2 linked regions of the Elephas maximus indicus genome follow. The protein of the gene in region 1 purifies or fractionates together with the protein of each later gene. This does not show direct contact. Links are inferred from orthologs where the notes say so. Each region holds a gene or a part of one and is shown on either strand. Other genes may lie near its edges.

Region 1 (7,773 bases):
CCTATAGTCATAGAATGTGTCACTTCTCTGCTTTCCTCTTTATCGTTCTTTTTTCTACTTTTTTTTTTACAAATAAGTTAAAACTAGATAAATTAGGCTAGAAGATTATTCAGGCTTATTACTACTGATAACTCCCCACCCACAATTCTATACACGTTCATACTTTCAGGTCATATAATTCTTTGGAGCGGAAGCTGTTTTACTTGTATACTATTTCTTTATAATTTAAAGAAAAGAAAAAAGTATTATTTACTACCTTTATAAGTTGACTAAATAGAGTTTTTTGGTAATGAAAATGTAAGCTTCTGGAATTGTGCCATTTAGCATACGCTCATATTAATAATTAGCATAATGGCTTTTATCCGATTAAAAAAAACTGCAAAATATTGTATCAGACACATACACACAAAAGGAACTCTTTTCCACAAATATTTAAAGTGTAAGCAACTAAATATCCCCTTCTAAAAATGAAGAGTCACGTAAGAGCCACAGACAAAAGACAGATGACCCACCAAAGATTTTTCCAAACTCTGTCAGTTAAACACCTGGTTGTTGGCCTTTCAGGTAAAGCAGTTGAATGATCTACAATAAAGTATTAAGCCACAATCATGAGACTCTCAGATATTCTCAGCCTATCAAGTCTGCACCCTGCCCTAGGACCCATCTTGTCCCTGCTCCTTCAACAAAGGTTCATCACAGATGGACCCAGGAACAAACAGCTGTTCAGAAAACTGCTACTCAAGTGAACCTCCTGGTTCTACAGTTCAAGCCCGGTGACCAGAAGTCGTAAGTCAGCTTGCTCCATCAGAGCCCACCACTGCCAACAGTAACTAACAGCTGCAGGAGGAGCCTTACCTCAGGTTCTCTGTCCTTTTAAAGTTTTCCCCATTCCCCAAAGCCTTGAGAAGAACATCAGAAACAAAATCATTTAAAAATTAACTTACTTTTCAATTTGACCAGGGAAGGCAGAGCCTGGATTTCACCAGTAACCTAAATATGCATGATTCTTAAACAACAAACTTTCAGAAATGTAATTTGTGATAAAATTAAAAGGTACTCCCATCTCCACCCCTACGACATTGCATAATTTCACATCAATTTATGTTACACATGTATGCAATCCTCTCAACAATTTTTTTTTAAATATGGCTGTTTCTGTTTTGTACTACCCACCATAAAACCAACTAGCTACCATACATCAGACAATTTAGATTTTTGATATCAGATCTTTCTGCAGACAACAAAGGAGGTTATTTTACATTGAACAGGCATAAAGACTACTTAATCCTTGCTCACTGAAGATACATGATATGGCTCTTTTCAAGTTAAGGTCAGATTTATTCTCACCTAATCCTCTAATTTTTTTTTTTTTTTAATCCTCTAGGGTCTTTTCCAACTGTAAGATTTTGTGATTTACAATACACCAAATGGAGGAAGCAGCATCCAAAATTTGTGCCTCACACAAATCAGGAAGGGTTTTCTGGCGATTGAGGCTCACCTCTGTTAAATTTTGAAATTTCTTCTCAAGCGTCATGTACTAGAAACTATCAAGTTAACGTTTTTGCTTAAATCTGTAAAATAAGTTGCTACTCCATTTAGTATACTTTAGAGTGACACAGGAAATAGGATTCAGAAACTACTGAATTATCCAACTTTTATAATTCACTGTACTGTGAGTTCCAGTTTACCTGATGAAAAATTTTAGTACTTCTGCACTACTCCTCCAAGTGTTCCTACACCAGGATTCCTTTCACCTAGGACAGCCTTCTCAAGCCAGATGCCAAAGCTCTCCAAAACCCCAAAGCACGGTATAATTCTTGATCGAACAAAGAGCAACAAAGAGTGGGTGGGAACCACCTCTCACAGAGGCAAGCCAGGACCCAACGAGGCTGAGCTACAACGCAAGCATTAACAGCTCCACGTTTCCCCACCACCTCCTCTTATTTCCCGGGAAGGCTAACTGCCTCAAACTCGAAAACCCTAATTTTTCCTGCAGAAGTGGAGCCCTTTCATTGGAATCCCGCGAAAGTGGCGCTCAAAGAGCCCAGTGAACAAAGGAGAGGGATTGAGCCCACGCATAACACAGGTGGGAGTGTGCCACAAGCCGTACTAGGGGCCACATCCTCACTCACTGCTCTTCAGGAGCAACCCCCGGGTCGGCGGGTCGGGGGGGAGGCTGGAGGAGGAGAAAGGAGAAGACGCACCGGGCTGACACCGCGGGGGCAAGAGGGGAGGTTGGGGAGGGGAGGGGAAGGCGGGCGGGGACTGCAGACAGAGAGGGGGCTGGAGGGGCGGGGCTCCCGCGGCCGCAGGGCTTTGTGTGCAGTCAGGACCGGGGTAGACAGTTTGACCTGGGGGGGACGGGAGAGGGATCGGGTGCAGACGGCCAGAGCAAGGGACCCCAAACCTCCGCTCCCACGAGTGGCAAGCGTGAGAGGCGCGAGGGAGGGCTGTCCCCTTCCCCACTACCACTAAGCCGCGGTAGGCCGGCGCCATCCGCAGAAGCAGCCACCTTCGGGGCAGTGGGCCGCACTGCCAGAGAAAGGGGAGCAGAAGGGAAGTGGGGCGTCCCTCCAGCTCCCGTCCGCGGGGCCGGTCGCGGCGGAGAGATCTCCCACTGGCAGCGCCAGGTCGGGAACGGGTTAAGATTCAGTCAAACGTCTGTCCCTCCTCCTTCACACCCCCAGCACCGGCGCCCACTGGCGACCGCGGCCACCGTGCCGGGCCTGGCGCGGCCCGGACTTGCAGCCTCAGCTCTGCCCGCCCACCCTCCCGGCCTCTCACCATCGTAGTAGTAGCAGACTTTCTTTTTGCCGCCTCCCTGACTGTACGCCATGGGCTCCTCAGCCACCGCCGCCTCCGGGCACCGGCTCCTCCTCTTGCTGCTGCCGCCGCGGCTCGGCGGATAGAGAACAGAGCAGGGGCGAAGGTGGAGGTGGCAGTCCCTCAGGGAAGGGCAGGCCGGAGGGAGGATAGGAGGGGGTGTCGGGAGGGGTCGGTACCACCCAGCCGAGGGGCCAGGCACTCCGAGAAGGGGGTGGCAGAGGCGCCAACTAGCGACACTGGGGAGGGGGCGGAGGCAGCTAAACCACCTCCGGGGGCCGTGGGGAGGTGGGACGCGTCCACTGTGGCCTCTAGAGGGGAGCAAGGAGCACGATTAGAGAAAGATGGTCCACTCACTCTTACGTTAAGAGCCCTAACCCTGAACAAACTATTTGCGGAGGGCGGAGCCAAGTACCGTCACGAAACGAGGAAAAAAAGGCAGGCTTTTTTTCCGCAGGTGGATAAAGGGAGCCTGGAGACAGGTTGCCGTTCTCCCCCTCGGATCTTAGCACAGTCGTTGCGCCTGTCCCGAGCCTGCGCAGTCGCCGCCTTCCCAACCGTAGCCTTCGCCGCCTAGACCCCCTCGGTGTTGTCCCACGCCGCTGCCCTCCCCCACTGTCGCGAAGCTCCCGCTCGAGCCGACCACGTGCCGTGAGCCCGGCGGGAAGAGAAGTGCTGCCCACGGCCGATGTACTTGGTCCTCTTGATTTCCTCATTTGTTCATTCATTCTTTCATTTTTTGCTGTTAATTGGTCTGAGGTACTGGCCTGTTAAGAATCCAATAAAAATGTCAAGAACAGTGTACTGGCTGGGTTTGAATAAGCATTTAGGGAACGTTTACGTGTAAGGCACGGTTCTAAGCAGTTGTGTTTATATTTCATCTCTGCCTATAATAACCAAGAACCAAATCCACTGCCATCAAGTCCATTCCAGTAGGACAGAGTAGAACTGCCACATAGGGTTTCTAAGTCTTTAAACTTTACGGAAGCGGGCTGCCACTTCTTTCTCCTGCAGAGCAGCTGGTGGGTTCCATGAGATCACCAACCTTTCGGTTAGCAGCTGAGGGCTTTAACCACTGCGCCACCAATAAAACAAACCAAACCTGTTACCGTCAGTTGATTTCAACTCCTAGCGACGCTATAGAACAGGGTAGAACCGCCCCATAGGGTTTCCGAGGAGTGGCTGGTGGATTTGAACTGTGACTTTTTGTTTAGCAGCTGAAGGCTTAACCACCGTGCCACTAGGGCTTTGCTCCACCAATAGATACATGTTATATCATTATAGGAACCCTGGTGGTGCAGTGGTTAAAGTGCTCGGCTGCCAACCTAATTGTCTATGTTCTCATTGAACTCACCAGCTGCTCTGCCGGAGAAAGATACGGCAGTCCACTTCAGTAAAAATTTCAGCCTTGAAAACACTATGGGGCAATTGTACTCTGTCCTATAGAGTCACTATGACACTAAAAAAAAAAAAGTGACACTAGGAACCGACTTAAAGACAATGGGTTTGGTTTTGGGCTTATTATATCATTTAAGACTCCCAACAACGCTAGGATGTAAATACTATTTCTGTTATTTAAGACGGAGGCAGATTAAGGAACCTGATCCTCACAACTGCTAACTGGTGGTCTGGGGATTTGGACTCAGGTAGTTGCCCTGGTGGTGCAGTGGAAAGAGCTCAGGTTGCTTACCCAAAGAGTGGGCAGCTCACATTAACCAGCTGCTCCTTGGAAACCCTATGGGGCAGTTCTACTCTGTCCTTTAGGGTTGCTATGAGTCAGAATTGACTGGGCAGCAAGGGGGTTGGTTTTTCGTTTTTTGTGTTTTTTGGGGGGGGGGGTTAGTTTAGTTTTTCACCAAGGAGCCCTGGTGATGCAAAGGATAAACGCTTGGCTGATGACCAAAAGGTTGGCAGTTCAAATCTCCAGCTCTGCTAGAGAAAGACCTGGCATTTTTCCGGAGAAAGACCTGATGGTTTGCGTCTGTAAAGATTACAACCAAGAAAATGCTATGGGCCAGTTCTACTCTATCCCATGGGGTCGCTATGAGTCAGAATCCACTTGATGACACCCAACAACAGTCTTTCTCTAAGATCCACATCCCCTAGCTGCTACACTATACCAATTCTGTTGCTGGCTGGATACTGGAAGATTGGAGCAGCAACCTAAGAGAAAGGACTTTACAAACTCATATAAGTTATAAATACCTCTGTCCCCAGGTCATTAAGTTAACATGTATCAGGGACCTACTCTAAAAGAGCCCCGTATAACACTCTTATCCCAACTATATCATTTGCAATTGTCCCCACAATGCACACTCCCTCCCACACACCCTTTAACTGAAGCAGGAGCTATTTGGAGCTACTATCAAAAACTTGCATTTTGTTTTGCTATATGACTTGAAACTTCCCAGGGTATTCATCTGTACAGCAGCAATTTTCCTGGGCCTCACACACAAGAGGTTTAGTAAAAGTAAGTCCAAGGTAGACCTTCTCCCCACCCTCAATCTTTATTTTTAACGAGTACCACAGGTGCCTGATGCCCATGATACAGGAACCACAGTGTGAGAAACATTGGCTTAGAGGTAAAGTCAATTACATGGCATTGACTTTCTAAGTGTTGCTCTAACGAGTCCAAACTCAATTTGGTAGATTCTGAGAACAGAATAAGTTAATTTAGTGAAAACTAATGTTCTCCCCCATAGGCAACCTCATGAAGTCTGAAATGAGACTCCACTTCTTTCAGATCCCCTCTCCTAAGTTTATTCTCTGTGCCCTTTACATGCTCCCTAGGGCCCTGTAGCCCCTCTAGCTCAACGTTCACCGTGTTATAGTGTCCATGTTGCCCACTTATCAGAATGTCCCTTTGGAACAGAACTTTGTAAGAAGAGGGACTGTGTTTGTCTTGTTCATAATTACATTTCTAATGCCTGTGTGACTTTGGGCAAGTCACTTAAACTTCTTTTTTTCCACTCTGAATTGCCTTATCTGTAAAATGATAGCATTACTTGGAGAGTAATTTTTTATATGAATATTGACAGATTCAAATAAGAATTAATATGGAGACATTTTAAACTGTAAAGAAGTATGTGAATATAAGGGGCAACTATGATTATTCTTATAGTACAAATTATTATAATAATAATTTTTGTCATTTACATTCACAACACCTAGCCTTGACCTTTTGAGAAGAGCCTGAACATGAATCTTGATTGGTTAAGGACAGTAATAGTTATCTAGTGCTGCTTTAACAAATACCACAAGTGGATGGCATAACAAAGGGAAGTTTATTTTCTCACAGTAAAGTAGGTTAAAAGTCCAAACTCGGGGTGTCAGCTCCAGGCGAAAGCTTTCACTGTCCTCCTCTCTCAGCCTTCTCATCAATCTTCCCCTGGACTAGAAGCTTCTCTGCGCAGGAACCCTGTTTCCAAAGGACATGCTCTGCTCCTGGCACAGCTTTCTTAGTGGTATGAGGCCCTCTGTCTCTCTGCTTACTTCTTTTATATCTCAAGAGATTGCCTCAAGACACAATCCAGTCTTGTAGGTTGAGTCCTGCCTCAGAAACACAACTGCTGCCCATCCTCCCTCATTAACATCATAGAGGCAGGATTTACTATATATAGGAAAATCACACACTACCGGAGAATCATGGCCCAGCCAAATTGGTATACAAATTCTTGGAACAAAATTCAATCCACGACACGGACCTTGCTATATTATTTGTTATCTAACTATTTGAAACAAATAGAAGCAAATGAATTTACCTTTGGAATCAGTACTGCAGCAGTTCGATCCAGTGATAAGAGCTGGCCATGAGAATTATGCTCCTAAATATCTATACTGAACTTTAGATCATGAGAACTAAGGTCAAAAGAAGGATCCATTATTGGAACCCTTTGATAAACTCCAAACTTCATTTCCCATATTGAAACATCTCCATCAACCCTTTTTCCATTAGAAAACAGAAAGTTTAAGATGATATGCAATAAAAGAAAACAAGCTGAGAGTGTGAATAATTGATAGAATTCATAATTGAAGATTGTCTTCATCCTTAAACTATTTTGCTTTAGTTCCTGCTCTGTCTATATAAACTTATTTTTTCAGTCTCAAAGATGTTTGGTGCTTTGAGCTTATTCAGTAAAATGATCTGTTAAACCTAAAGGGATTATTTAAACCAGGACTGTTTAAAAACAGATTGCCTGAGCTTTCCCTAAAAATTGTACCCTATTACCAACTATAGCAGATAGTTTAATTTTTAGTTGCTATAAAAGAGCTTTTCATATAATCTTGTTTCTACTCTAAAGAAATTTAGATTTCTTAGTGTTAAATTCTGTGCAGTAATTCTATAAAGTAATACAGAAGGTAGAGGAGCATAGCGACTGATGCTTGGGTGTTGTTACAAACTAAAACAGTCTCAAGCTGAATTCTGATCACTTCAGAGGCACGGTGACTATTTGGAAACCCTGGTGGTGTAGTGGTTAAAAGCTATAGCTGCTAACCAAAAGTCGGCAGTTCAATACACCAGGTGCTCCCTGGAAACTCTGTGGCGCAGTTCTACTCTGTCCTCTAAGGCCACTACAAGTTGAAATCAGCTTGACAGCAACAGGTTTTTTGGTTTACTACAAGTTGTAACTCATAAACCTGAACAGCACGCCAAACATGAGAGATTATGATGTGATTTGAACTGTGCCTTTGTTTAACAAAATTTAATGATTATCCATTTACAGAAAACAATATATATTTCTGAACCATAAATTATCTACTAATTCATTCAGTTACTTTAAACTTTCTAAGGCACTACTGTTGTTATTGATTAATGCTTTGCTGGTGACCTTCAAAACACAGTATCACTTTGATCCCATCCACCTAATTGCACAAATTTTATGATACAATGCTACTCTCGGACTATGCCTGGGAGAATCTACTCACCAGTGTTTCCTCATCACCATGTGT
Region 2 (8,045 bases), on another chromosome or scaffold:
TGTTCCAATCCCAGGTTTTTTGCCCAGTCTCAGCCCTCCTGGGAACTGCAATTTTCAGATTCCAGCAGGTGACCCCGGGGCTGGCTTGCCACACGCCACCAATGAGAGGTTCGGGCTCCAGGATGGGAGACGATAGGCTCGGTTTAAAATCAAAGGCTGTCCCATCGGAGCCCCCAAAGACAGCCTTAAAGCACAACCCAGGTGTCAGCTAGAGAAGGAGACCTGGGCGATCCATGAAGGTGTGGGACCCTGCAGACCAAGGAAGCAGGACAGATATGTGGTGGGGACACCACCTTACACAGGGGGCCGCTGTGAGTACACATGTACCAGGGTCCTCCGCTTATGTGTGCACACACGTGGAAGGTGGGATCAGAAACCTTTCGAAGGGATCAAAGGATCGAACCACCTTCCTGAATAGGATGGGATGGCCTGCCCCATCCACATGCCCCTCCGCCGGCTGCTGGGTCAGCGTTTCATGACAGCAGCACCAGCAGGTATTTGAGTAAAACAAGCCAGCCTACCCTCTTGGGCGGAAACTAGGCTTCACGGCCCCCTAGGCCACGCATGATTTCGACTCACAGCCATCCTCTTCCCCAGACCCCCAAATCCAAAATTAATGGAGCTCCTCCAGGGCAAGCAGCCGAGTGAAGGCAAGCGCCATATAAACAGGGAGCACCCAGGCCTCTGCTACCACCTCCCTCCCACCCCGCACAGCTGACTGGCAGAGAAGAAAGACTCTTCCCACCAGGGAGAAGTCTGTTTGGGCCACTGTCTCCCGCGTCCCACACCCCCATGTCTGGAAACACATTTCCATCTGCTGTTAAGCAACCAGAGAGTCTCAAAGGGAAAGCGTGGACTGGGTGGCGGGGCGGGGGGGGAGGTGGTGGAAAGCTCAGGCGCAGCTAGAGTTAGAGCGGAGAGGAACTTCCACCCCTGGTATGCTCCAAACATGGTAAGTGCCGAGACCTCTCTGTGACCTGCATGGCTGGACTAATTACCAATGTTATCAGGCAGATGACAGACATGCCCTGAACTTCCTCTGTTTGATAGATTCCGCCACAAACACGCTGCTGCAAAAACGCCCAAGCTCCTTCCCATGCCTGCTGTTTTCAGCAGTGCCCGTTCTTCCACAGACCACTCCTGGTCCCTCAACTTCTCTGACCTCCTACGTTGTGTCTCCAAGCTCTGCCAGGCCAAGGAGCCAACCAAGGGCAGGCAGCCTGGTGACCTCTCACCATTACACACCACGCAGGACCAGCACAAACTGCAGAGAAACAGAAAACACCGCTTCCTTCCCTGCACAGGTTTCTAAGGAAGGCTTTAAGATGAGATGAGAACCACCGCTTACCTTTGTCACCACTGGCACTGGGGAACTCCAGCCGGTAGGCCCCTGACGGTTGGGCCCTTGGCCCGCACACACTAGAGTCCCGCACTCCACACAGGCACCAATGATCAGCTGCCGCCCATCGTCCACCAGCAGGCTGTGGCTCGCCCGCAAGGTATAGAGGAACAGGGGTAGTCGGGCCACTCGCACAGCCTTCATTCCTAGACAGCGCTTCTTCTCCTGCTGGCAGAAGAAGCACACAAAGGTCTCTACCTGGTACTGCCGAGACCAGGCACTGATGGCATGGAGGGCACCACGGGCCTCATGCTGAAGCCACTGACCCAGCAGGTCGTGGTAGCAGAGCACACAGGTCGCCACCAGGCCGGTGGAGTCCACAGGCCTGGCTCTTGGGGCAGGCGGGTACACAGTGAGGAAGGGGAAGAAGGGCTCCTTCTCACCCAGGCAGCTGGAGGGGTTCACATTGAGCTGAAACTCCTTCCCAGGGCCCAGCTCAGCCCCGCAGATGTAGCAGACAGATGCTGGGCTGCCCTGGGCTGCGGTGGGCGGCTCAGAGATTCCTGAGTCAGACGCAGAGAAGGCCTGGTGGTATCTGCCCAGGAAGGCCTGCACGGAGGTGATGAGCTCCTCATTCTGGCAGGCCCGGTACAAGGCCCAGACATCCTCCAGAACGCTGAAGCACTTGGGGCAGCTATGGACCTCACAGAGCTTGTTGGGGGCCCGTGCATTGGGGGGGCAGGGCAGCAGGCTGAGGAAGGGGAAGTGCATGGTGCTCCTGGTGCTGCCATTGAGGATCCTGGAAGGCACAGCTCGGGCATCCTGGGTGCAGTCCTCGCCACAGAGGTAACAGGCCTCCCGAAGGGCTGCGGCAGGCACACCCTCTTCCCTGGGCAGCCTTCTGCCCTTGGAGGCCATGCCCGGCGCACGGCTGTTCAGAGGCACCACGTACAGCCGCTGCAGGACAGGGACACTCGCCAGCTCGAAGCTCTGCCACTGCTGCATGAGAGAGGTGAAGCAGCAGGCACACACCAGTGTGCTGCCTCCAGGACTGATGGGACGTGCGCCTGAGGGCGGGCTGTGCAGCCACAGGAAGGGGAAGAACGGGGCCTGTGCCAACTTCTCCTGCTTTTGCACGTGGATCTGGTGCTGCGACGCCGCCGACAGCGCTGACCCACAGATGTAGCAGCAAGGTCCCTCCGGTGGTACCACACGGCTCTCCGGGGCCCCCCGGGGGACCCGGTCACTGTTGTCCTTCTCTTTGGGGCCGCAGGGGGCAGGGAAGGGCTGCTCCTTGTCGTCCTCTTCCTCGCTGGTGATGTTGATGTCACTGTCTTCAGAGGTGCAGTAGCCCCCGTGGGTCTCCCCCAGCAGCCTGCTCTCTGGAGTCTTGGTGGGCCTGCCAGAGGGGGGCCCTTTCATTCCATCTGCAGCAGGCGCTTGGACTGGTGGGTCTTGCCAAGTGCCCTGAATGCCCCTCAGGACGCTGGCCCGGGCCTCAGGGGCCCAGTGCCTCCCAGTCCCCCTCCGCCGGCGCCCGCTGCCGGTCCTGGGCTCCCCGCTCACGTGCAGCTTCGCAGGGGCCCCCTCCTCGTCCACGTCCCCCTGAGCGGGGGGCTCTGCGCTCTGTCCCAGAGGAAGTCCCGGCGCCGGCCTCCACTCCAGGCCGCGGGGCCCGCGAGGGCCTGGCCCCGGGGTGCTCCGCGGCAGCGGCGCCCCGTCCTGAGCCGGACTGACGGCGTCGTGCGCGCCCGGGTCGGGCTCGGAGAGGGGATCGGTGTCCGACAGCTCGGACAGCTCGGAGTCGCGCGCCTCGTCGGCGGGCGCGCGGGGCCCGGGGCCGCCGTCCTCGTCGTCGTCGTCGCCCGCGCCGGCGCCCAGCGCGTAGGCGACGTTCCACTCGCGCGGGGCCCCCGCGCCCCCGCGGCGCCCGCCCGCGCCCGCCTCGCACTGGTGCGGCCGCTTGAGCCAGTACATGCGCTTGTCCACTGGCGTGCGGGCGCGCTCGAAGGCGGCCCACTGCTCTCCCAGGAAGCAGCGGCACACCGCGCACACCAGCACGCAACCGTCGGCCGGCGAGAGCTCGCGCGCGCCGGGCGCCGGCTCCTGCTGCTGCAGGAACGGGAAGAAGGGCTGCGCCGGGGCCCCCGCACCCGCCGCCGCCGCCGGCTGCTTCACCTGCAGCTTCAGCTCCTTTCCGCGACCGATGCCGCCGCCGCAGATGAAGCAGGAGAGCGGCGCGCCGCCGCCGCCCGCCGGCCGCTCGGCCAGCGCTGCCATAAGCCGCTGTTTGCGGGAGACCGGCGCCGCCCGCCCGCTCATCGCTCACCGGCAGCCGCGGGCCCCGCCGCCTTGCCGCCCAACTTGGACCATGAGCGCGCGCCGCAAAGTTTGGCGGCGGCCGGCAGACGCCGGGCGGGGCGCGCGGCCGCTCGCGGGGGCGCCCCCCGGGCCTGCCGAGCACCCGGCGGCGGCGCAGGCCGAGGCGGCGCCGCGGCGAGCGCGCCCGGAACGCAGCGGCGGCGGTGGCGGGCTCCGGGCGGCTGGAGCGGCAGCCGCATGTGCGAGCTCCGGCGCCTGCCAAAGCGTTGGGTCATTTAATTGGGGAGGAGGGAGACGGGCGGGCGGGCGGGTGGGCGGGCAGGGAGGAGGAGGGCAGGCGGGGAATCCCTCCCTCGCGCGCTCCCTCCTCCTCCTCCTCCCCCTCCCTCCGCCCTCCTTCCCTCCTCCCGCGTCCCAAACTGCGCACAATAGCTCGCCGGCTCCACTATCTATTTTGTGTCCAGCCCCGGAGCCGCGCACAATGATTCATTGCCCCAATTAGGGGCTCTCTCCAGCCCGCCCGGCTAAAGCCGTCTGAAGGGCCTCCTCAGGGACCCGCCGAAGCCCATCAGCGGCCAAGGCTGGTCTTTAAGTAAAGGTCAAGGAGGACGCAGAACGCCAGAGGAACCAGGTAAGGACGCCCCTGGAGACCGAGGTGCATCCGCAGATGAAGGGCAGCTCCCGGACGGAGGCCCCCCTACCCGCTCAAAAGGGGGGCGGGGGCTGAGTGAGGGCCAGTTACTAGAAGCTGAGCAGCCTAGGGGTGAGGGAACTTTTCAGGCCCGGCTTTCTAATTTTGGAGACAGAGAAGAGGAGCTGTCCTGGAACACGGTTAGTGAAGCATCAGTCTGGGGGCCCAGCCAGGCCCCCCGTCCCCCCGCCCCCCGTGTTGACCAGAGGCCACTGGATCACCACCAGAGGCAGAAAAGGTCCTATGTGTCTAGGGGCAAGGGACTCAACCTGTCTGAGAGTCTTCCCCCCTTCTGGACAAACAGGAACTGCAGCAGAGGGTAACTGTTTCCAGTGCATTTACTGAATATGTGTATAAATACAGTGAGTTTATTTAAGGAACACGTAGCGAGAGACCCTACTGTGTGCTAGGCCCCATTCTAAGCGCTACACATATTAGCTCAGTTACTTCTCCCAATAACTCTGAGTTGGGTGCTGTGGTCAGCCCCATTTTTGAGATGGGAAAAATGAGGCATAGAGGGTTAATGTGGGAAGTGGTGGGGCTGGGATTCAAACTCAGGCAGTCCAGCTCCAGGCCCCTGCTCCCAACGATCTGGCTGTGCAGCCTTGATGGGCACCTGACATATCTGGTCCGTCATCCATGTGCTGATAGGCCATCCCCATCAGGGAACATGGCCAGGACTCCTCCGTTCTCCCTGCGGTCCTGGCTCAGCCTTGGGCAAACCCAGGCCTCTCTGGTCCTCACATCTCCCATCTGTGAAATGACGCCCCTTCCAGCTTCAAAACTCTGTGAGCCTCTGATTTCCAAGCAGTTGACAGCTGTCCGACCTGGCAGCTGGAGCCCAGAAGTCGGCCTGGTGACAATGGTGCCAATTGGCCCCTCCGGCCTCTGGGGCGTTGACTTGTAAATAAAACTGGGCTTCCTCTTGGCACAAAGGAGGCCATGCATTATAAATAAACAGAGCAAGAGAAAAGGGCCACCTCTGTGGAATCCCACGTGGATACTCCAGGGGTCACAGTCCAGAGGTTAATGTGAACATCTTGGCCAGAAATGCCCTCATAGTGGAAAAACGCTGCGTCAGCAAAACTGTCCCAGAGGAATGTCAGGGGCAGGGCAGGAGGGCAACAGGAGGGGGCTGATTAGGAAAATGTTAAAGGGTGAGGTCTGTTCAATTGTATCCCCACACATTAAAGGGGGACTGGCCAACGTCCCTCTCCCCCCACATATACACGCAGAGGGGCTGCTGGTAAAACAATGCCGAGCTTAGGAGATCTAGGTAGGCTGGGGAGTTACACCTGGATCCCACAGGGCTTGGCAGGGCTGTCCCTCTGCCCAAATGCTTTCCCAGGCTCTCTTTGCCAAGCTGCTCCAGCTCATCTTTAAGGTCTTGGCCGAAATGTCATCCCAAGAGACTTCCCTGTCCACTCCCCCTAAAGGGAGGCCTCCCCGGTGACCCTTTGTCTCTAGTCCTTGGCATAGGAATTTGCCATTGACTTTAATTATTTTTTCTGTCTGCTTGTTCCCCATCCAGCTCCCCCGGGAGGCTGGGTGCTCCCTCATCCAGGGCAGGGACCAGTCAGTTCTGCTCACTGTGTATGTCCAGTGCCTGGCTCAATGCCTGGGCCCCACACACCGACCTCTCATGATTTTTTGAGCAGATCAAATGAGGTAGAGGGAGTGATGCCCTGGCACAGGGGAGCCGGCATGCTGTTGGTGACAGTGCATGTCCCTTCTTGTCTCACCCAGTGGTAAAGGAGGTTCTTCTGCTGTCTGTCTGCACTCCAGGGGGCAGGGGGTGCGACTGTGATGAGGTTGTGCAGAGTCTGAGGGAGAAGGGCCACAGGGGTCAACTGGACAAAAAGTGGGAAATGGGATTTTCTTGGCTAAGCTGGAGATTCAGGAGAACTACTGGATGTGTGCCACGTGTATGCGAGTGCATCTGTGTACATGTGTGCATGTGTATGTATGCATGCATGCGTGTTCATGTCTGCATGTATGCGTGCATTCATTGTGTGCATGTGTGTGTTTGTGTGTTATTGTGTGCATGTATGTGTATCCATTATGTACGTGTGTGTGCACGAGTATATGTGCATTCATTGTGTTCGTTTACATGTGTATGTGTGCATTCATGTGTGTGCATGCATTCATACGTGTATGTCTCTGTGTGTGTGCATGTACGTGTAAAGTGGGCCTAGAGCAGGGGTGGGGAGTGCTCAAGTGGATGTTTTTGCTTCTCTCAATGACCCAGTGATTCAGAAAATCCCTGTCTCAGGAACCAGCTTGGTGGAGCTGGGACTTGAACCCAGGCTGTGTCTCTGTAACCCCCTGGTATGTGAGCTATTAAGATTAGCCTTGCCCTAAATTCTGAGGCGCCAGCTGGATAGGACAAGCATGGCCAAGAAGGTCCCATATCCCCTCTCCCATGTTCCCATTTTCACGCCTAAGGAAATAAGGGCTTCACAGATTTGAGTCTTGACACAAAAAAGGCTGGGTATGGGTGAGGAAGATGAGGACAGCATGCCAAAGCTCGTTGGTATTAACGTCACGTGCCAGAGTAGACTCCAAGTACCTGCTTCTAAGGAGAAAATGCAAAAGGCTCAAAGTGGGAAGGGCCCGCGAAGCATCCTGCCAAGAGTGTGGGGCCCACAGCTTCAGGGTCCCAGGAGAGCCATCTCTTTGCCTTCTGTCTTGGTCTCCTAGTGCTGCCATAAGAACAAAAATTTATCAGCTCACAGTTCTGGAGGCTGGGAGTCCAGATCAGGGCAATGGCCATGTGGATCCCTTCTGAGGCTTTGAGAGAGGAGCAGTTCCATGTTCCGTGCCTCCGTCCTAGCTTCTGTGGCTGCCGGCAATCCTTGGCATGCCCTTTGCTGCTTGTAGAGATATCTTCACATGGCGTCTTCCCGTATGTGTGACTCTGTATCTGTGTCTGATCTCGCCTTTTATAAGACATCACTCAGAAGGGATTAGGACACACCCTATTTGGCAGTTCAGACCCACCCAGAGGCACCTCAGAAGACAGTCCTAGCCATCTGCTACCGAAAGGTCACAGCCTTGAAAACCCTATGGAGCAGTTCTACTCTGCACACATGGGGTCACCATGAGTTGGAATCAACTGGGCAGCAGCTAACAAGAACAACAATAACTCCAGCATAACCTAGTTAACTGATAGCATCTGCGAAGAAAGGACCTATTTGCCAACAAGGCCACGTTCACAGGTACGTGGGTTAGGACTTCCACATATCTTTTGGGGGATATAGTTCAACCTATAACACCTCTCCTCTGAGCCCTACAACCCTCCCTGCGGGCAGAGAGAGGGTGCCAGGTTCCCTCCAGACCATGTGATGCCCAGCCCTGGCTCCTTCCATCTTAAATTCCTAGGACTCGAGTGTGGCGGATCTGGAAAGCAATGACAGATGCTCCCAGGCAGACCCTGCATTGGGAACTATGGTGTAAACACCCCACCTCCAGTCTCAGGAGACCAGGCAGCATGGAACACCTGGGCACATGTCAGATTTGCAGCTACCTGTAGGGTCCTTTGAGCCCCCAAACCACAGGAATCTGCCCTCACTCTGCCAGGAGAGTTGTTTCCAGCTCTGAGCACACATGGTTTTGTTGATCTGTCTCTATGCCTCCTCTCCTCGGGGAAAGCCTGGGTCTGCTGCCCTGTGCTGTCCCACATTTTCACAAGTG

What was found.
Region 2: the proteins of HDAC2 (region 1) and GSE1 purify together in Homo sapiens (affinity purification with mass spectrometry; 5 studies listed by BioGRID and IntAct, with this or other methods). This does not show direct contact. The link is inferred for Elephas maximus indicus from reciprocal best matches to the Homo sapiens genes HDAC2 and GSE1.

What each region holds. Positions count from the first base shown.
Region 1 is NC_064819.1:180,220,026-180,227,798, forward strand, and holds the start of HDAC2 (histone deacetylase 2), read right to left. Parts: upstream 3,085-7,773; 5' UTR 2,837-3,084; coding exon 2,785-2,836; intron 1-2,784. UniProt on the Homo sapiens protein: Histone deacetylase that catalyzes the deacetylation of lysine residues on the N-terminal part of the core histones (H2A, H2B, H3 and H4).
Region 2 is NC_064839.1:51,005,138-51,013,182, reverse strand, and holds the start of GSE1 (genetic suppressor element 1), read right to left. Parts: upstream 3,083-8,045; 5' UTR 2,762-3,082; coding exon 1,349-2,761; intron 1-1,348.